Ovis aries: one gene and its partners. The protein of the gene in region 3 purifies or fractionates together with the protein of the main gene of each other region. This does not show direct contact. Links are inferred from orthologs where the notes say so. Each region holds a gene or a part of one and is shown on either strand. Other genes may lie near its edges.

The links.
Region 1: the proteins of SRC (region 3) and CBLL1 purify together in Homo sapiens (affinity purification with western blotting; 3 studies listed by BioGRID and IntAct, with this or other methods). This does not show direct contact. The link is inferred for Ovis aries from reciprocal best matches to the Homo sapiens genes SRC and CBLL1.
Region 2: the proteins of SRC (region 3) and PTPRA purify together in Homo sapiens (co-immunoprecipitation; 4 studies listed by BioGRID and IntAct, with this or other methods). This does not show direct contact. The link is inferred for Ovis aries from reciprocal best matches to the Homo sapiens genes SRC and PTPRA.

Annotation. Positions count from the first base shown.
Region 1 is NC_056057.1:50,271,776-50,279,085, reverse strand, and holds the start of CBLL1 (E3 ubiquitin-protein ligase Hakai), read right to left. Parts: upstream 4,421-7,310; 5' UTR 4,399-4,420; coding exon of another isoform or gene 4,386-4,398; 5' UTR 3,950-4,385; coding exon 3,757-3,949; intron 1-3,756. UniProt on the Homo sapiens protein: E3 ubiquitin-protein ligase that mediates ubiquitination of several tyrosine-phosphorylated Src substrates, including CDH1, CTTN and DOK1. Targets CDH1 for endocytosis and degradation.
Region 2 is NC_056066.1:52,019,455-52,026,834, forward strand, and holds the start of PTPRA (receptor-type tyrosine-protein phosphatase alpha), read right to left. Parts: upstream 4,722-7,380; 5' UTR 4,675-4,721; intron 1-4,674. UniProt on the Homo sapiens protein: Tyrosine protein phosphatase which is involved in integrin-mediated focal adhesion formation.
Region 3 is NC_056066.1:66,306,328-66,313,607, reverse strand, and holds part of SRC (proto-oncogene tyrosine-protein kinase Src), read right to left. Parts: intron 6,450-7,280; coding exon 6,178-6,449; intron 4,491-6,177; coding exon 4,391-4,490; intron 1-4,390. UniProt on the Homo sapiens protein: Non-receptor protein tyrosine kinase which is activated following engagement of many different classes of cellular receptors including immune response receptors, integrins and other adhesion receptors, receptor protein tyrosine kinases, G protein-coupled receptors as well as cytokine receptors.

The DNA of each region.
Region 1 (7,310 bases), on a different chromosome or scaffold from region 3:
AAAAAGAAAGAAAACCATCATTTCCATCAAGCATGCAAAGTAGGCACTCAATGAATTTAGTAATCTGCATCTACATCAGGACAATCACTACTGGAAACACAAACTAACACTGACAGTGGTAGAATTACATAAATAATACGCTGAAAACGAAGTTAGCTTTAGGGATGTGATTATCCTCTTCGGTGTAAAATAGTTTTTCTAAAAAGCATTCAGGAATATAGTAAAAATTACCACACAATTTAGCAGTAAACGCAGACACTAATGTACTATAACATTTCTATATGTACAGGTGACTGCGTTATTCTTAGTCAGCACTGTAATGGTAAATTATAGGTGAGGAGGATGCAAGATTTCTATACTTCAACTAGGCCTAAACAACTGACACTTTCTATGTCTCTGTTATTAGCTTACGAAATAAATTTACTCATATCCTATGAGTAATATGAGCATTATTTCATAGAACTGACTCTATTTTAAGATTAAAAGCCACCTCTTTTCCAAGTCCATGACATATTACAATCCAGAAAATATTTACCTTTATCTGCTAAAAGCAGAAAGGCAAATGTCCTAAAGTAGGAAACGCAAATAATTTAAAATAGTAACATTTTAAACATGACAATTAGTGAGCAACGCTATGTAACTGCCACTGCAGGAAGACAGCACAGAGACATAACCAAACTATCCACATTAAATTCTCTAAAGCCAAATTTGGAAGTAGTATCCTACCCAGCAGTAATGATCTCTAAGGATACTAGAATAACACATAGATTTGCACTCTTTCTCAATAATACACGGAACAAAATTCAAAATCAGTCCTTAATTATTAATTTAAATATCTTTCAGTCTGCTTTCTATCATTATTTTCATAACAGCTAATCTGCAAAAAAAAAATCATGGGAATGGGAATACATGGACAGTTAAAAGTCTTAAACTAGGATAAATCCATCTTGATTTAACTCTCAACACTTCACAAATGTATCAACAATCAGATAATGCTTTCATCTGCTTTCACTCCAGTTGCATTTAGTTGCTAAACATCTACAGGCAATGAAGTAGCAAAAAGATAATAATGCATTTCATCTGCTTCGGCTCTAGCTGTTTAAAGTACCTGCAAACAATGTAACAGCAAAAAGGTATGGCAGAATGAGGTTTTTTTTTTTTTTTTTTGCTTGGAAGGTATTCCTGATTTTTCAATGAATTTAAAAAATAGCAAGTTATCAGAGACAGTTCAATGTCATCTTTCCGACAGTAAAAGGACTCTGAACGGTTTTTCCTTGGTGAACAACACTTCATTACTACAAGTCCTTTTCACGCTACCCTAGACATCCGAAGTCACAATTATGACTTTCAAGAGCCTGCTGCCCTCTAACATCTTGCAGTCTGCCTCAGACTCCAAGTGCAAGCTGTTAATAGTGACATCACTCTGGGTTTATCCTGGGGGGTTTTATTATGAGTCAAAATATACAGTATATATGCAATATATTCAACAATATATTTAGTTGAATATCACAACTAAAAACCCTAAAACCCTAACAATGAAAAGTCCTTGGATATTATAGAGAGTGAGAATTAAGGATGTAACCACTCATATGAAGTGAAATCCACTGTAAAAGGCCTAATACGGAATACTGTATCATATAGGTTTTTAAAAGATTTGTGCAGAATTTTATCTTGAATTAAAGGAATCAAGAAATATTTTTACAAAATTTAGGTTACAGTTACAACTAAGTGCTAACTTTTAGAATGGCCAAAGACTCAATCAAGTGTTAATTAGGAGTTTCTTGAAGTAATTTTCTATTACAATACTACAGGATAGCCTTCATTTTATGACTGACAATTTCAGCACGTTCACAAAACCAGTCATTTTTGCATAACATTCGAGAGTTCCATCAATCTCCCCGGGGCCTCTTTTAATCCTTTAATATTAGAATTTTCCTTTTGAGATGCCTATCCTGACATGTGTTCAATTTACTGGCTATCTGGCACATCCTCATTTCCCAATGATTTTATTTGTGATTCAATTACCAAATTCACATTTATGAATATCATGAAAACTTGAATATTTTGTAAGGTTTGTAATCACAATCAGTATACAAAATTTAATACCATTTTCTGACATGAAACTGGTAAGGACACTGCCTTATAAGGAAATTTAAAAAAAAAAGAAGAAAAGAGGTTCATGTTAAGCAGCAGGGATATCTGAGCAGGAACTATTTTTTCAAGAGGTCAGTTCATTAGTGAGTATTTTCATGTTAGGATGACTTTTACTTTCTTAGGCAAACTTTTAACTTAGAAAGTAGGATAATAAATACTCAGATACACACCAACCCACATTACAATTTCCCAACATAACATCTTTAAACTGTGAAAAGTGCTTGACTTCCAATTCCAGTAACAGGTTCAAATGAGAAACATTTCGCTAATGTGGCACGTTTGCTTCTCTAACACCAAGATTTCACGGTTTCAATTCTATAAAAGCTCCAAACACTAGAGTTCCCTAGAGCCTGCTGCTAGGCCCTCTTCTCTACTGTTTTCCCTTTCCCTAAGTGATCTCATCCATCCTCATGCCTTAAAATCATTCCAAACAAACCTCCCTATGATTTCCACTTGACATCTCCCCTTCTATGTCCCAACAAACACCTCATCCTTAGCAGTTCAAAGTCTTGTTGCCAAATTCCCATTTGTGACCTCTACTCCATTAAAAAAAAAAAAAAAGGCATTTTTCTCCCAAGTCTTCCAATAAAGGACACCACTCAAAAACTAGAACCCTACGCACCTTTCCTTTCTCTCACATGCCTCCAAACCAATCCACCAGGGCCTGAGTTCTACCACCAAAATATTTACTGAATCTGCCCATTCCTGTTTTTACTAAACCAAGCCACCATCACTAAACCAAGCTTCCCTTCTGGTCTATTGCAATCACTTCCTAAATTTTCTATTTATCTTGCCTCCTTCTCTTACACCATTCTTCATACAACAACCTGTTACACTTTAAAAACAGATTATGTTCCTCCTCTACTTCTGTTCAATGGCTTCATATTGCACTTAAAATTACACTCAAATCTTTTCCATGGACTTCAAAGTCTTGCACCACCCGAGTCCTGTCTTCCTTACCAATCTTATCTTAGGGCTCTTTCCCTCTATGTAAGTGCAGCTGATTGGTTTTCTCTACATTTTCCTCCCTCAGAGTCTTAGTACCTGTTATAAACACTTTCCACTTGATTTATGCCAAGCTGGATTCCTCTCATCCATCAGATCACAGCTTACAAATGTTACTTTCCTAAAAAGACTCTTCCTGACCACCGTCTCTGAAGCTTCTACCTTCCACAGCCCCATATGTCTTCTTCAAAGCCCTCATAATAATCTGTATTTCTAAACACTTGTTCATTGTGGTTTTCCCAATAGAACGTAACTTCCCTGAGGACAGGGACTCAGTTCACCTTGTTTATTATTCCACCTCCAAGCCTAGAAGAATATGTGTATATACATATGTGTATGTGTGTGTGTGTATACATACACACATAACGTGCGTGTGTGTGTGTATATATATATATATGAAATTAGGTAGACAGTTGATGACTGAGGAATCCTAACTAATACGTGATACTGGAAAAAAGCCTTTTATCACCCTACTAGTAATACAGCTGATAAACTGAACGGAGCAGTATCTAACTCCAAATGCACTCATTCAACATCCAAAAACTGCAAGGGAGCAAAAGACAAAAAACACTTAAGAAAGAATGGAGCCATTCTTACTTGGAGAAAGTGATGAGAATATCTTGATTTTAAGCTCAAGACTGGTGGTTAAGGACCACAGATGAAGCGCGGGGCATGCTACAGGCTTAAGCAGAAAAGCTGCTCCCGGTATCATTCCAAAAACCGTATCCGACTCCCTTCTCCCACCTCTAGTCCAAGAAACACCGGAGAGACAACGACAGGCAGTGACCATCGCAGCACCCGCCCAAAGCTGACTGAAACAGCAGGAAGTCTCTAACCCACCCTAGCACATCGACTCGCAGCGTAATGACACTTCCCAGACTCTCTACCCGCCAGTCCCCATAACGTAGGGCAGAGCACCCAAAATGAGGGGGAAACTGCCGGCGCTCTCTCCTCTACGCGAAGCCCGCGCCCCCCCGCGGTGCCGGCTCCGGGCTCAGAAGGAGCTGCCGTTGCCGGCACCGAGGCTGTAGGTACCACATCGGAGGGTAGGCCAGGAAGTAGCAGGCCCTGGCCGGAGACGGGAAGAGGGTCTGTGAGATTCCTTCCTCGCCGCCACACCCCAGTGCTGTAAGGCGAATGTAACCCCTCTATGTTCGCTGGGCGACCAGTCCCAGGCCGGCCAAGGGGGCATGGAACCTGGACCCCCACTGCCTCCGCCTCCTTACCAGTGTGATCCATGATTCGACTCGCAGGGCACAGTGGGAGCGGAAGTCAACCGCGCCGGAGTCGCAGGGAGCGCGTGCGCGGTACCTTCCGGAGCCCGGGAGGCGGAAGTGTGATCAGGTGGAACCAGGTTGGTTCCCTCCAAAAATTCCCTTCTCTTGCGTCCGCTAGCCGACTCCGGTGAGGGAGTCAGGCTCAGTTCGGGCAGAGAGAGAAAAAGCGAGTACGCGGGGAGCGTCAGTGTAGAGGCTGCTAAGGGTTCCTCTCATGTGCTTCCAGAGGAAGTAGCCTTTTAATGTGGAGCGGAGACTGCCGGGAACGGGGGAGGGGGAGAGCTGGTAGTAGCCGGAGGACTAAGCTCGCGGCAGGTAAGGCAGCCGCCGCGCCCCGCCCCCCCGCTCCCCCCGACCCCGCGCGGAGCTTTGCCTTCTGGGACTTGTAGTGCGCCGGGACCCTGGTGCCGACCTAGCCCAACTGCGCAGGCTCAGCCGTTGGGCTGTCCCACCCCGGCGGGCGGAGTAACGGTTTGGAATCCCCCAGAGTCCGCGAGCGACGTTCTCCAGCACCCCCGGTCCAGGAAGAGTGTAAACACGCGCGCTCCGGAAAGCGTCCTCCAGCGGGAGGTTGCCTAGGGGACGGTTGAGCTGTGTAAGGCTCCCAGCTAGAGGGAAAAGCTCTGTGCATATATATCTACATTTTGCTTTGTCGTGATGAGCTGCACAGACCCACGCAGAAGCCGACTTGGGTATCTACCCCGGTTCCCATCTCAAGTTGCTAACAGCTGAAACCCATTTCTAACGCTTGATTAGCATTCATTTTCTAGGGAAACCTCCCCCTCCCCCTAGAACACCTGTCCTAAGGAGCGTACGCGGGGCCAGGTGGAGGACGGATGCAGCGTAGCCGCCTCTTATAAAGGTCAGCGGGGACTCCAGTGCGGAGTAGAGCTGAGGATGGGAAGAGGTTAGGGCTGGCCGCGATGGAGCTGTGAAAAAGGGGAAAGGCCTAAAATGAAAAGACAAGTTACCGCCACGGGCAGTACCTAGTTCCAGTTCTTGGTCCCAAGGGTTGGTGGTTGCTGCAGCTTTCATCGTCCTCAGCCGAAACAAAAGACAAGTGCCAAAGAGTGATTCCTGAGGACCTTCCGGGCCGTCTCCACCTCGCGACCCTGGCGCATGTGTCTACTCCCTTCTCCAGCCCTTCACACTTGATGCTCTCGAATGAGTAGAAAGGAGCACAATTAGTGGAAAACACAAGCTGGGGAGTCAAGGGATTTGGGTTCTATTCTTGTCGTCCCTCGGTGACGACATCATTACCTTGTGTTATGCACGCTTTCAGTGCCAGAGTTCCTAGATCAATTAAAGATTATTGTGTCGACCTCTTAGAGAAGCGGCTTCATGGTGCTGAATTCGGAGTCAAGTATGTGTAGTGATGTGCTCCATCTGTATAGTTAACCAGTGAGAGCTTGGAATAATATGATGAGTAATACTGTAAGTGTTCTGTGTTATTTGGTGAATGTTTTGGTGGGATCTTTTAAAAGACACCGTTTGTGCAGTTTTATAAACAAGTTTTTAGGTGCATTCACAACTAAGGACAATTGTGATTCAGAGTTACACTTGCTTTTGTTAAAATGTAAGTTTCTGTATCCCTAAGTCGTTTTCAAGATGCTTTCAATTGCTGGGCATTTTTTGTGTTTCGCGAGTTGGGGGAAACAACCTTTCTTCCATAGCTCCTTGTTTCTCTAAATACAATATTGATATGAAAATCAAGCATTTTCCACCAATTTTGTGTGTAAAAGAAAAGTAGTTGTCACCTAGAAAGTGTTTTGTTTTTTAAATTTTTTCGATCTTCATATTTAGCCATCAACCATCCTTCAGAGGAGGTCAGTTGCATTCAGGGTGGTATGGCCGTAGACTCAGCCGTACTTCAGATTGATGCAGATGCAGGTTCAGAGTAATAATATTAGTGTCTGCTGATGCTATTTAAAGAATTAGAATTTTTTAAAATGTCTTCAAACTGTGTTTTATGTAATTTAATATGTAAGTCAGAAGTTATGTCAACATTTTATGGTGCATCAAGTTATGAAAATTTACTAAAAGGAAACTTACATGTTTAGATTTCTTATTGCTAAAATGTTAGGTAAACATTTATTTGATTTGACCTCGTGCTTTTATGCATTTCTATAGCATCTGTGCTCTATATTCACTTTTCCCTTAACTATAACCTCACTTTACTAGTACAGTGGCAATATGACAAATTAATTTCTTCCTCTAAAATGATCAGAGAAACTGTATATAACATTTTATTACTGCCCTCTGGTATCCGTTGTTGTTAACATTTGTGCTGTAAGCAGTCACAATTTTACTGAAAGTCAACATTTATACTTAATTTATAGCTTGGTACTATCCTAAGGTTTATAAAAATGAAACATCATGGTAATGGACAATCAGAAGCACTAAGGTGTATATCATATTTTCATCTTATTGACAGACATCTGCTAGTCAGTGCTCTTCAAGGTGTTTTGATGACCTTGCATCTAAATACACAGCACTATTTACTTACAAAAAAAAAAAGGATGTGTGTCAGAGAGCTTGAGATTCCTCAATGCCAGATCAAGGGCAATAACTTTCATTTCTTTAATGCTTTCTTTTTTTCCCCCCCTCACTGCATGTCTTATGGAATCTTAGTTCTGGAACCACATATCAAATCCTGCCCCCTGCGGTGGAAATGCCAAGTCTTAACCACTGGAGCACCAGTGAGGGCCCTCCTTAATGCTCTTTTAATCGTAACACTGTAGTGCCTAAGACCACAGAAGGAAGAAAACATATAAATAATGGTTCCTATATGCAGAACCATATAGCCTAGCATTTATAGAAATAATTAAAAACATGGAATTACATTCTGTGTCTTTCAGGAGAATGCAGTGCTGC
Region 2 (7,380 bases), about 14 Mb from region 3:
TTTAGTAGCTCATTTAGTTTTCTAAAGTTTTCCTGAAGACACGTACATTTAACCTAATTCAAAGTACTATTACATTTTTTAAAAATTAACAAAATTGATTTTTAGGTTATATTTAATAGTACTGGTTATATTGTCAGGATATAGAGCCAAATAAATTGTTAATGGTGTTGTAAACTAGTTCAACCTTTCTACACACCAATCCGGCAATGAAATCATATCCTGATACAGTGATCCCATTTTAGGGAAAGAATCCAAGAAAATAATCCAAAAGAAGTGTTTCAGGGGTGCTCAAAAGTACCATTTATAATAGTAAAAAGGAGAGAAAAAAGGAAAATAAAAAACGATTGTACAAACTACAGTTATCAATGCATAGACTGTTATTTTGTGATTTAAAATAATAAATGAAATGAGTAAAAATAAAATGTTTGATGTTATTCAAAAACACAAAAATCAGGGCTTCCCTTGTGGTCCAGTGGTTAAGAATCCATTGCAACTACTGAGCTCTCGTGTCCTACAGCCATGCTCTGCAACAAGAAGTAAAAAACAAACAAACAAACAAAAAAACCACTACGAGAAGCTTGCACACTGTAACTAGAGAGCAGCCCCCACTCTCTGCAACTAGAGAAGGACCACACTCAGCAATGAAGACCTAGAATAGTCAAAAATAAAAATCAATAAATTACAAAAAAATACAAAAATCATATTCTGCATGTACTTTACCTACCAAGTACAGATAAAAGGTAATAACTATTAAAAAAAAAAAATCAAAGGAAATGGCAACCCATTCCAGTATTCCTGCCTAGAGAATCCTGTGGATGGAGGAGTCTGGTGGGCTGCTGTCCATAGGGTTGCACAGAGTTGGACACGACTGAAGCGATTTAGCATGCATGCACAGCATGTCTATACAATGACACAAATAGACGTGAATTTAAAGTACATACAATTTCATATTTAATGGATTTTCTTTTCTATAGAGAATATATTAAAATAAATTTTAATGTTGTTATTTATGGGTTTGTTGCTCAATTATATTGTTAGTGTTACAGTATTGCTACTTTTGTTGTACTCAGTCACTAAAAAAATTTCTTCAGATTTGACATTTGTTAAGAAGTAAAAAGACAAGGCTCTACATTTGGCCAAATTCTTGCTTAAAACTTAAGTTTCACTGGACCTCATTTTTTCCACATGAAGGTGGGGAAAAACAATGCAACAATGTTTACAAATCAACTCAGAACTTCCAATGAAATATGCTGGGCGAATACAAATAACAGGGCTGCTTAAAAAAACCACCACCACCCACCATCTTGCACAAGTACTCTATCCTTCTAAGACTCAATGTCTCCCTCTGCAAATTGAAAGAAACGGAATAAAATCAAACAGGGGGAGAAGGTCAGGTGAAGGAAAGCATGTGGAGAAGCATCCCAGGTTATCCTGATATACACCCTGATAAAGATTCATTTGAGTTCTATTCACATCTTGAGAGAATAAATAAGCACAATGGGCTTCCCTGGTGGCTCAGAGGTTAAGAATCTACCTGCAAGGGAGGAAATGCAGGTTTGATCGGAAGATCCCCCGGAGGAGGGACATAGCAACCCACTCCAGTATTTTTGCCTGGAGAATCCCATGGACAGAGGAGTCTGGCGGGCTAGTCCACAGGGTCGCAGAGTCAGGCATGACTGAAGCAACTTAGCACGCACTCTAAACTTCAACCATCTCTGGGGAGGTCAGGTAGAAATAAGATATTTCTCTACTACATACTTTCAAACGGCTGTAATTTTTCTCCTAAGTATTATCTTTTTCTCAAAACTCTGCAGTATTCTCTTTGGACCTCACTCTGGGTTTAAGAGGCCATGATTCTGCCTCTGTGCGTCCTGGCCATTGCCTCTTAAATTGGAAGGGCATGAGCACCCGGCCCCACATTGCCCCCGAGTGACTTTTCCAAAGCCTGGTCTGCCCAAGTCCCTGACCGCCTCTAAAATCCTCCTTTAAAGTCTCTACTGCCCAAATTCTGGGGCTTCCCAGGTGGCTCAGTGGTAAAGAACCTGCCTACCAATGCAGGAGATGCAGCAGATATGGGTTCAATCCCTGGGTCAGGAAGAGCCCTTGAAGTACGAAATGATATCCCACTCCAATATTCTTGCCTGGAAAATTCCATAAACCGAGAAGCCTCGTGGGCTACAGTCCATGAGGTTGCAAAGACTTGGACACGGCTGAGCATGCACACCCAAACTTAAACACAGCACTCACAGCCCTTCAAGCTGACCTAATCTCATCTCCCACCCTTGTCTCTACCCAGTCCAAATACATTTAACCTCTCGTTGTTCCCCAAGGGCAATGGATTCCTTCCACCTCCAAGCCTGCCTGTGCTGTTCCCTCTTTCCGGTATCCTGTCCACCATACATAAACTCCTATCCATCCTTCATGACCCAAGGCCTCCTCCCAGTCAAGTTTTCTCAGGCCACCCAGAGAAGGAATGCTGTCTATACAGCTAGGTAGATACTCTGGAACTAGACTGCCAAGATTCAGATCCTGATTATTCTCATCAGCATACTGTATGGGCTCAGTTTCCACCCTTGTCTAGTAGGAATTAGCCACTATTCAAGGGTAGAAAGGAGTAAGTAAGATAATTCATGGAAAGCATTTATTACCTAGCCTAACACAAGGCAAATAAAAGGTATTATCACACCCTCACAATATCTGTGACAAGTATTTGTATCCACCTGTCCTGCTTTAAGCTGTGAGCTCCTCAAAGGTAAAAATGTGACTTCCTCACTTTTATTCTGTATCCTAAGCACTTTGTCTGGCAAATAGAATGCCATGAATGTAGCACAGTCAGAGAAGTGGCTTTTCTGGTTCTAGATTTCACTTAGATGGTAAATCAGCATCTAAAAAGTACCCAGTGAACAGCCTCCTAGATTGCACTCTGCCTCAGAGTATATGTTAGCCAGGGCACTTCAGATAGGCAGAGGTGAAAAAGAGAACATAGGGCTTTTGGCCTTTCAAAGACAGTGGAGCACACTGAAGGTCAGTGGGATATGAGACCTGTCAGTTCCTACCTGCTAATTATTTATGGGGCTGGATAGGACAGACATGGGTAGATGGGGAATCAAGGTACTAAAAGCCCTGGCTTCAACATTCTATCTGCCTGGCTGCATGCCTAGCAGGAAACACTCAAGAAAGATTCTCTCAGGAAGTGGGTACCTGGAAGTAAACATCAGGGGAAGAGATGGGACAGGACCTATAAGACAATTGGGAGGAAGAAGCTTTCAACATGGGAGCTGAACAAGACACAGCTCCTACCCTCATCAAGCCTCTCAACTGAAAACAGCTTTAAAGAAAGAGGTGGAGCTCAGCAGGTAAAGGTGAGGAAGAAAGAGCAAGCAAAAGTATCCAAATGTGAAAAAAGGCAGGCAAGCAATTCTGAATGACCAGAGAAGGGGATGAAGGGAAGGAGGATTGAAGGATTAATCTAAAAATAAGAGTAAATTGAAGCAAGGCTGTCAAGGGTCTTGTATGACTTGTTAAGGCATTTTGGGCTTCATTCATCCTATGGCAAAAGAAAAGCAAGGGAGTTTTAAGTAAACAAGTGATAGCATCAGATCTGTGTTTTGTAAAGGAATGGCCAAGCAAGGGGCTTCCCTAGTGGCTCAGACAGTAAAAAATCTGCCTGCAAAGCAAGAGACCTGGGTTCCCTCCCTGGGTTGGGAAGATCCCCTGGAGAAGGGAATGGCTCCCACTTCAATATTACTGCCTGGAGAATTCCACGGACAAAGGAGTCTGGCAGGCTAGAGTCCATGGGGTCACAAACAGGAGGACACAATGTTCATCCATCTTTCACCACCAGTCCTCTCCTTGCCTACCACCTTCTCCTTCTGGAGCTGCCTAACAGCAAGCAGGTGGCAAGAGATCTTTCTGGAGATGCGACTGGTTCTAGAGCAGGGATCCCTGAGCAAGGGCTTCTAAAGGCATTCACCCTCCTAGAGAGGTTTTGAATATTCTTCTTTTCCTGTCTTACAAACATCATTCACTGACCTCAAAAAAAAAAAAAAAGAAAGAAAGAAAGCTCAACACTGGGCTCAGCACTGCCATTATTATTTTTTATCTTCAGGAAATACAATTAGGAACTAATTTCTCAAGAAACGATATTCTTTGTGTTATTCACGAAAGTAAAAAGGAGGGGGCATGCATTCCCAGTTGGCTCATTTTGAATTCTCGGCAGCTCTGAGCCCGTCTTCCTTCTTTAGCAGCCTGAACTGCAGGGAGTGGACAGAAAAGAGAGGGGCTGGGGAAAGAAAAGTTGGTCACTGCAAGAGCAAATTTTCTCATGCCAGGAGTTCTCCTCTTTCTTCCCATTAAATGGACCTGAGCAAATTCTGATCTCACTGTCCAAATTTCTTCTTTCAGAATGAACTATGGCAGCGACCCGGCCCCAGGAGGATGCACGCGAAGTTCCAGGGCTGTGGAGAGGGGTCGGCCCCTGGGCGGGCGCGTTTCCGGGGACTCTCCCCCTCCCCCGCCCCAGCCCCACGGACAGCGCAAGGATGTGGAATCCCTGGAGAAGCCGGATGGATCCTGCCCGGAAAAGAGGGATTTGGGCACCCCTCCCACCCGCGCCCGGGAACCGCCGCCCCATCTCCGGAACCCGTCGGGGTGGCGGCGGCCGTGAACACTCACCGAGTCCAGCGTTGGGCGGGACCGCTGGGGTCGAGGACTGCGGCTCCGCCTCGGTGCCGCGACGGCGTCTCGGCCCGCCACACGCCCTCAGGGCCACCGCCCGGCCCGCGGCTTGGAACCCCGCGGCGGCGGTGGCGGCCTCGCCTCCATGGCGAGGAGAAGCGGCTGAGGAGCAACTGGACAGGCGGCGGTGATGGCGGCGACGGTCCGGGGTCCGAGCTGGGTCGCGCGCGCGCGTCTCTGTCAGCGCCGCACTCGCCTCAGCCTCGCTCCCGATCCGGCCTGGGTTGTAAGGAGCTTCCTCATTGGCGGTTCAGAGACGAGCGCTGGTTGGCCCAGATCGAAAGGGCGTTCCCCTGGCCCTCGTGGGCCCCGCCCTTACGCGCCTCCGAATGCTCGCTAGCCTGCCGGCCTGGGGCGCAGGCCCGGGTCTCTGTGTCTCACGGTCTCACGGACCGCCAGGGAGGCGGTCCCCCCACCGCGGTCCAATCCTGGGGGAAACAGGACCCTGGGAGCACCGGCCGCCTGTGCACCAACACCTTCCGTTTCTCTACAGTCACACCTAGACGTAGGTCTTCTTCCCAGTTTACAGATGCGAAAACTGAGACCAAACACAAGTTACACCAATGTTTAGTGATCGGGGAGACCTGGAGCTCAAAACTCTTTCCACTCTCTCCAAACGGGCTCCCCAGAACTCCTCCTCCCTCCGCTTTTTAATTGCTGCAATGTATTTAAAAGACAGAGGCTCTCGGTGGTGAAGGTGGTGAACGTGCATAGCCCCTGGAAGACGCCTAGCACCGTGGCTGTCATCTTAACAAGTTAGCCCACGCCATCCCCACCCGAGCCCAAGGGAAATCTCCGCGGCTTTCCAGATGCGCGTATCCGGGCCTGACTCGCGTCGAGCTGGGTAGAAACACTACACACGGTGCTCTGCGGAGGGTGTTTGCGACAGGTCTGGCCTGGAAGGAGAGGCTCAAAGCTTCGAGCGGGCCTGGAGACGCGTCTCCCCCTGGGGTCGGGGACTGGGACCAGGTGGGAGGCGCGGACCTACTCCCCAGCGCTTCCCGCCGCGCGTAAGCACCTCAAAGCCATCCGTGGATATGCCCGGCAAGTGGCTTCCCAGGCTGCAGGACTTAAGGAATCGCTGAAGGCCGATTACACAGTCGTGGTGGGTGGCGAGTGAGACATCCCAGATTGTAGTCCTCAGGCAGGGCCCCTCGGACGCAGCCGGACCCTCTCAGGAGTGACCATAAGTCCGTAGGCGGGAGACATTGCTCAGCAGTGTGCAAGCACAGCTTGCTGGGAGATCCTTCATTCCTGACCCGCAGCCTGAGCTGCCAGGGGTGAGCGGCGGCCAGCCTCCCTCTCCCATCCGTGGCTGGGCAGAGTCCCACGATCAGCGCTTCCGAGGGAACGGGTCTGTTCCTGGTAGTAATCCTTTTTCTTGGAGGGGATATTTCAGCACAGGAGAAGGAGCCCACATGAGCTCCCATTTCCACAGGGCTGGTGCTTCTAGCACCTCCAGTCCGTACCACCGCCAGTAGTTGGGGCGTCAGTTTGGGACTGTATGCACCCCGCTGCCCGTATTTGTAGAATTAGTGTGTGCTGACCAGAGCCATGACCTGGGAATACGGGGTGCAGCGGGCCTCCTTCGAGGCATCCCCTCTGCCACTGGAAAGTCCCTCCTTGAGAGGGAAGTGTATCTCCCACTACCTCTCAGCGGGACTGACCCAGAGGTGTGAAATGACTGAATCCTAAACGCCTCTGAGGGACAGATCCTACAGCCGAAAGACCCACACACCAAGTCTCCTGTTAGAGCCTAAGGGCAGCCAAAGAGGGCAGGACTTTCTATACGCCAACCTTTCAGTTGGGCTTCCCTAGTGGCTCAGAGGGTAAAGTGTCTGTCTACAATGCAGGAGACCCGGGTTCGATCCCTGGGTTGGGAAGATCACCTGCAGAAGGAAATGGCAGCCCACTCCAGTATTCTTGCCTGGAAAATCCCATGGACGGAGGAGCCTGGTAGGTTACCGTCCATGGGGTCACAAAGAGTCGGACACGACTGAAGCGACTTCACTTACTTTCAACCGTTCAGTTACCCAGGAAGTAGAAAAACTCACTCTATCCACACACAAGGCAAAAGCCTGAACTCGGGAAAAATAATGATTGAGTGCTGGAGACACCTGGACAGTCTCATAAAAGAGTTTGACTTGCTACTTATATTTCCTAATCTATATGGAAATAAATAGCTATTATAATAAAAAAACATTCATCCTTGGGATCATCTAAAAGATTCCCCACCCAAGCTGACCATACTTGGGAAAATGCTGTGGTTGAGCCCTGAAGTTCAAGCCCTGCCACTGGCTGCTTGACCTGAGTCCCACTCTGCTACTCTTCCTGGAACCTCCCAAGGCTGCATGAAGAATTACAGGCATGTACAGCTTGGCAAGTGGCCCATTCTTAGGAAATGCAGTTCCTTCTCTCCAGGAGACAGCTGCAGTGGGGTCAGAGCATGTGTGGGGTGTGTGCAGAGGTGACAGGACCTCACACCAAGGAGACTTGCATATTCCATCCTGGAGACCCTGAGAAGGAAATTTCAGTTTGGTGACCACACATACCCTATTTTCAATGAAAGAGGACAGAGTCCTATACTCAGCTGCCCAGCTGTGGAGACCTGTCCATATTTCCCATCCTACGTGATGCTCAGGG
Region 3 (7,280 bases):
AAGGAGACAATAGTCACAAAATCTCCCTTGCAGGCAAAGTGTGTACATCAGCCGGCATCAAGCCAAGAAGTGGATTACTGTGATTATCATCTGAGCCTCAGTGTGCCCACCTGTGAAATAGAAATATCAAGCCCCATCTTCCGCTGCCAATGGTCTGGAAGGTTCAAACCTGCCTCAGGTGGCTGTGAGCTGGCTCTGTGGAGCGCCAGGGACTGCCCTCACAATGAGGGGCCCCATAGCGTCCCAGATCAGTCCGGTCTGGTGGGGACTCTGATCTGAGCTCAGAATGATGGTGGTGTGAACCTAACATGTTGAGCACATTTACTGCATCTCACACCTTTCCTGGGGCCTGGGGCCCATTAGCTAGGCAGGAAAAAGGGAAGGAAGGGAATCGCACATTCCCTGCCTGACCCCTCACCTTCGCTCACGTGGCCAGAGAAGAAAGTACTGGACCAGGAGTCCCCAAACTACGATTTTACACCCCAAGTGCTGTCACTAGCTGTGTGACTTCAGGCTACTGACCTCACCTCTCTGAGCCTCAGGATCCTCTTTTTAAGAGCCTAATCCTTGTGGCTAATTCAAGCAGGCATGTGGATTGGGAGGGTGGCAGCTTTGGAACCTGGGGAATTAGGGCAGCTTGCATCATTCTATTTAACCCATTTGGGCTGTTAGGACTGACCAGAGAAGCGATTTGGAGCTTGCAGGCGAGCCAGGGCAGCTGGGCACAGCTCAGACAGTCAAGTTTCCGAGCCCTGAGGCCTGGACCCCTGCTTGGTCCTTGGGGAGAGAGCAGGGTGAGGCCGAGGCAGATCGTGCGAGGAGGGCAGGAAGGGGTCCCTCGCCCCATGGTGGGGAGCGGAACCGAAGAGCCCAGGGAAAGGGGGCAGAGGTCAATACTTGCTGGAGAAGCTGCTGGAATAACCTGGGTGGGAGCAAACGGCAGTTGGGGAAGCACCCCAAAGTCAGACCAGAGGAGCTCTGGCTCCTAGAGGACCGGGACAGAGGCTTAGGGCGGTCACCCCCCGGATGGGCTTCCTCCGACCCAAGGCCACACAGCACCCAGAGCTCTAGGTCCAGGACCACGTGGCATGGAGATCCAGGGAGCAGAGTCTCCAGGCAGCTACTGTGAGGACTCCAGGCCAGCCAGCCCTGGCCCGGCCCCAACAGGCTCGGCCTTAAGCTCTCCCTCCCCGACTCCCAGCCCAGCCACAGGCCAGACTCAGAAAGTCCGTCACTCTTGCAGGGTGCGCGGTGGGTGCAGGGGGCTTACAATAACGGAGCTTAAGCAATAATGGTAGAGGGACAAGCAGGGTGGTCCCGGGGTGAGGTATGAAACCCCACGCTTGGGTAGCCTATGTTCCACTAAGGGAAGCAGGACAAGGATACTCCCCTGCCCCATCCCTGACCCTGTTACCCCTCCTCTTCCTCTAATGCCAGCTTCCCCCAACTCCACCATCACCTGACTTCTAAGGCAGAGGAGCAGCTGAATACTGTGATATGAGGAAGGGCTCCCGATCCACCCCCACCTTCCAATTGGGGCACCTCACTGCCCCTCATGGGCTTCCCATGGACAGGTCTCCATCACTTCTGGCCCTCCAGGCAACCCCCAGCCCATCCTGGAAGACAGGAAGAAGGAAAGAAAGGGGCTGGCAAAGGACGAGTGAAAGAGGCAGGATCAAAGTTTCCAGAACTCTCCTCTGGCCACACCTTTGCTCAAGCTGTGAGCCCCCTGAGAAGCCCTTCCCATCGTTGCCAGTTGAGAGCTCCCCAGCACTTCAAAGTCTCCTCCAGCCTGAGGTACCATCCTGCCCAGCTCAGGCCCCTCCCTCCTCCCAGCTCCTCTGCACCTGCAGAGCACCCCCTCCAAGGGCTCAGGGTCATGCCTACCCTCCCACGGCCCCTTACCCAGCTCTGTCACTACTAGCTGTGTGACCTTGAGAAAGTCATTTCACCCCTCTGGCCCTCAGTTTCCTCATCTGTAAAATGGAGCCAATAAACATTTCCACTTCCCAGGACTATGGTGCCTTTTAAATAAAACAGGGCAACTGAAGTGGTCAGCGTGAGCACAGGCCCACAAGCAGGGCACAAGAAATGGTGCGCCAGTACCACCTGGGTACCCCCAGTGGGGTGAGGAACATGGGGTGATGGGGGCCCCAAAATGGGGCAGGCACAAGAGCAGCCCTCAACGAGTTTCCAGTTTAGGGGTAGGCAGATGGAAACAGCTGGAACCAGAAGAGAACTAGAGTGGCATTGGGACTCAGACAGCAGGGGTTTGGGGGAGCTGGGAAAGCCCCCTCCCCTTGGGAGAGCAGCTTAAAGAAGAGTGCTGCTGCCCAAGTTCCAATCCTGGCTTTGCTACTTGGTAGCTGTGTGACCTTGGGCAAGGGCCTTTACATCTCTGAGCCTCAGTTTCCTCATTCAGTGCCTCAGTTTCCTCATTCCATATGAGGAATCAATATGGCGATGGTCCCTCCCCCATCACTACAGCCCTGGTGGAATGGCAGCAGAGTAAAGGACGTGGGTAAAAATGCCTACCCCTCTTTTCCCCTTTGCCTCACAAGGAAGGCACTTCTGAGCTGGATCTTGAGGGATGAGTAGGAGTTTGCCAGACCGATGGGAGAAGGGGCCTTTCACACAGAGGGAACAACATGCATAACAGCAGGCAGGCACCAACAAGCAAGAAATGCCTAGAGACGGTGGGGATGTCCAACCTCCTTAGCCAGGCCTTCCAGGATGCTCTGGGATCAACCCCACTCTACCCTCTAGAACCTTCTCACCCTTCCATAGCCCTGAAGGCATGTAACCCCCTCCAGCACTGCACCCTCCCAGGAGCTGCCCTTCTGAGGGGGGCTGCCATCCATCACCTCCCTCCAGCAGCTCGGCTTCACTGTGCTTCCTTCAAGGTCCTGCTTGAGCCTCCCAGCCCCTGGTCACGACCAGAGGTGGGCACACAGCACAGCCCCCTAAAGCCCAAGCTGATCCCAGCCATGCCCTGCACAGGCCACGGGGCCCGGACTAGGGCCAGTTCCACTATACTCTGGCCCCAGGAGGACGTGGCCTTCTCCACCCAGGCCTCCCTAGGCCCAGCGCTGGCCCTGCATGCAGCTGGCACTTGGGGGGAGCTGAGCGAGCAGGAGGTGGATGGGGAGGAGGTGTGATGGGGAGTGACAGGGGTGATGAGAGGACCCTCCCCATTCTCAGCCTGGGGGTGCAGGTCAGGATCTGGTCCAACTCTAGGGTGTGAGGACAGAAGCTGGGGAAGCCGGAGGGGGTGCAGCCAAGGGGGTGCAGGCGGAAGCGCATGCAGCCCCACCCCCACCAGTGAAGCACCCCCACCCAGCCCGCCGCCCTGGGAGCACGTACACACCTGACATCCACCTTCCTCCTAGGGCCAGCGAGAGAGAAGCAGAGAGGGAGAAGCTGAGAGAGAGCTGGAGGGAGCAAGCACGGGCCAGGAGTGGGGCAGGGCATCCCCGAGGCTGCGGGGGAGGGATGGGAGGTGGCAGAGACGGGAGAGCAGGCCGTCCAAGGGCAGGAAGGCAGCTGGTGTGGAGCTGTGCCCCGCCCTCTGTCGGCAGCTCCGCCCCCACTGTGATCACCCCAGGGCATGGCACCCAAAGCCTGCACTCCCCACCCCCCACGACAGATGCTGCACCCCACTTCCCACTGCACTCTGGGCAGGCGGGGAAAGGAGAGGAGGAGGGAGGAGAGGAAGGCCCCCACCCCCTGACTGAAGCCCCACCCCTCTCATCAGTTCATCACTCACAGGGGCCCCAGAGTCTGGCAGGGTCCCCTGCTCCCCCGTTCATCAGCTTGGCCCTAGGATGCCCCATGACAAGGCTGGAGTCCCTGGAGGGGGACATGGATGCCACCCTAGGGTGCCCTGCCTTCCACATCCTATGCCCCATCCTCCCCATGCCCTATCCTGACCCCTCTCATGTTGGGTCCCTAATATGGGTCCCCCAACCCTGCCAATGTAGGGCCCTCCCTCTACAGCTGAAGACTCACTTTCTGGGCTGCCCCAGGTGCTCCAGCACCTCTTGGGGCACAGCCTTCAAGTACAAAGGCCCTGCTGTTTGTAGCCCCGGGTCCTGGGCCCAGTCCTACTCTGACCACACGCCCCTCTGCGGGTGCTGGGATCTGGAGCACCGTGCTCTGTGGATCAGTTACCGAACCCAGATCCCTGTCCCTGGAGCCCTCCCAAAGCCACACCCACCTCATCGGGGTGCCCGCCTGATCACCCCCACAGACCCCAGGATGCCCAGGATGGGTTCCCTGGGCCTCGGCTGCCTTGACGTCCAGCCCCGCCCACTGCCCATCAAGCTGGCTCTGGGATGGTCAGAAGTGGCTCCAGCCCAAGACCAGATCGGGGTCCCCAGGGGGCACTCACGTGTTGTTGACAATCTGAAGCCGCTCCCCTTTCTTGAAAGACAGGTCAGTCTCTGTCCGCGACTCATAGTCATAGAGGGCCACGAAGGTGGTCACTCCGCCTGCTCAGAAGACGGGCGTGTCAGAAGGCCCGGCCCTGGCTGGCAGAGGAGAGCCCTGCACTCTGGGGGTGGGGGAGGGTCCCCCACTGCCAGCCCGGGGGCCTGCTTTCATTTACAGAGACGGTGGGCTTCTGTGCATGTCCCCTGTGTCTATGTGTCTGGCACACCTGTGAGGGCACGGAGGAGGCACGTGGGTCTCTCACGTGTGTCTGAGCGGGTTCACATGATGAGCCCAGCGGGCTCCAGGTGATGCTGGGTGTTGGCTTCTGTTTGGTATCTGTCTTCCCCCCAAGAACCCGAAGCCCCCAGTAACAGGCATCTTTATTTTGTTCCTAGAGTCTGGCGCATCGCAGGTGTTCAAGAAACAACCATGGGGTGAGTGAAGCAGTGAATGAAGGAAAACTGCCCCTGGGGAGGCGGCTCTGTGACTCTCTGTGTGACTCTGGGTGCTTCGGGCCATCAGGGACGATCCTGGCTGCGGGTGACTGTCCCTCCTGAAGCCCTCTCTGTGCCCATTTTAAGATGCAACCTCCACCCACACATCCCCCAGCGCCCCTCCCTGTCCTCCGTGTTCTTTCAGAGCAGTTACCACCCACAAACGCAGGGCACAGTTTACGCAACTCGCTCTTCGCCTCTCTTCCCCAGGAGGGTTTTGTCTGTTTTACACACTGCTTGTGTTCCTGACACCAGAAGAGACCTGGCACACAGGAGGGGCGCCACAACTGTCTCCTGAACAAATGAATGGCTGTGTTTGCGGGTCCGTCTGTCTCGCTTGGGTGCGTGTCTGTGTGTTCTCACTGCACGTGTGTGCATCTGCGTGTCCATGGGTGCTAGCTGAGCATGTGTGCGCTTCTGAAGGGCTCCGACTGCACGCGTCTGTGTCTCCATCTGGGAGTAGGAGGCGCTTCTGCGTATGTGCTTTTGCATTTGTGTGCATCTGCGGTGGGTGTGTGTCTGTGCCTGGAGGGTGCCCATTCCTGTGTCCCTGAGTGTGTCTCTGTGTCCATGGTGTGTCTGTGTTTACGCTGGCATCTTCAGCCTAACATGTGCACGTGTCCTATTTGGGTGTCTCTGAATGAGTTGCCGACTGTGTGTGTGTGTCTGTCTGAAGGTGTCCCGGTAGAAATGCCCGTGTTTGTGTGAGGGCCTTACCTCTCCAGAACCGCATCTACTTCTCTTACTAAGCATCACTCGCCCGAAGCGGCTATACCCCCTCAATACCAGCAGAGGGCGCAGGGGCGCATCTCGTAGGTCCAGCCTCTGAAGACCCGAGCGCTCTCTCTCCTTCTAAAACCTGCCCCGCCCCCTTGGCCACTCACCGCCTCCAGTCCTGATCCATCTCCAGGCTAACCAGAGCGAAAAGCAAAGCCTCAGACCTGGTCCTCGGGCCTCCCCAAGAAGCCCCCGGCTCTCTGGGCCTCAGTTTCCACCTGCAGCCCTTTATCTCTAGGGCCCTTTATACTGCACATCAGAATTCAGCCCTAAAGGCAATGGCGTGTGCACCACTCTTTCCAGTTTATAAAACCTCCAAAAAACTCCCAATAGCCCCTAAGACCAAATAACCCCTAGACTCCTCCCCGTCATTAAGAGAAAGAAACAGCAGCCCAGAACGCGGGCATCGCTGCCCCCCAGGGCACACAGCCCAGGGGGCCAGGGCCACCCGGCACTCACTCCCAGGCACACTGACCAGCCAGGGGCCCCGCCCTCTGCGGGGAGGTGACTGTGTCAGAGGAGTTGAAGCCTCCGAACAGCTTGGGCTCAGCGGCTGCAGGGGCGAAGGCCGTGTTGGGGCCACGGTGGCCATCAGAGGAGGCTGGCTTGCTGGGGGTCTGTGAGGAGGGGAAGGCACCCCCACCGCCGCCTCCACCACCGCCGCCTCCGTGGGTATTCTCGGCAGGCTCCAGGCTGCGGCGCCGCTGGCTGGCATCCTTGGGCTTGCTCTTGTTGCTGCCCATGGTCCTGTAGAGTAGAGAGGACCTTGAGGTGAAGGACTCTGGGAGCAGACAGGGCTACCTGGGCCCCTTAGCCCGCACTTCCACCCATTCTACAGATGGGAAAACTGAGGCCCAAAGAGATATCTTTGGGTAAGTTACCTTTCAGAACCTTAGTTACTCCATCTATAAAATGGGAATAGTGATGGCATGCATAAAGGGCTTCCTTGGTGTAGGGTCAAGCACAGAAGAAATGCCTCATAATCAGCAGCCCTAATTGCACCCTCCCTTCCCCTGAGACACTGTGTCCATCCCTCCTGGACAGGGACAGTATCTGAGGCATGTGTGTGTTCCAGGCACCCAGAAGAGGGCTGAAGGTTTGTTGAGTGAATACATGGTTGGCTGAAATTGTCCTACACCAAGGAAAGAGGTGCTAAAAGTTGCAACCAGGGCAGGGATATAGTAGGCAGCTGGAAGAAGGAGAGATGGCTGATAGCTCATTCCAGCCCCAGGGCCTTTGCACATGCTATTCCTTCTGCCTGAATGCTTTTCCTTGACTATTTCAGCAGAGTAACTCATGTGTTGTTCAGTTCTCACCCCAAAGGCAGCATGTGGGGAGTGGGAGGGAAACGTTTAGGGGTGATGGATTATCTTGACTATGTGGATGGTTTCATGAGTGCACCCATGTGTCAAAATCTATCAAACTGCAGACCTTAAACATGTGCAGTTTACTGTATGTCAACTATACTTCAATTATGCTCTTAAGGAAAAAAAATTCACCTCCTTTGGATGTGCTCCCAAACTACTTTCATTGGTTTAAGTTCCCTTCCTTTTGTGCCTCTTCTTGATAACATGAGGC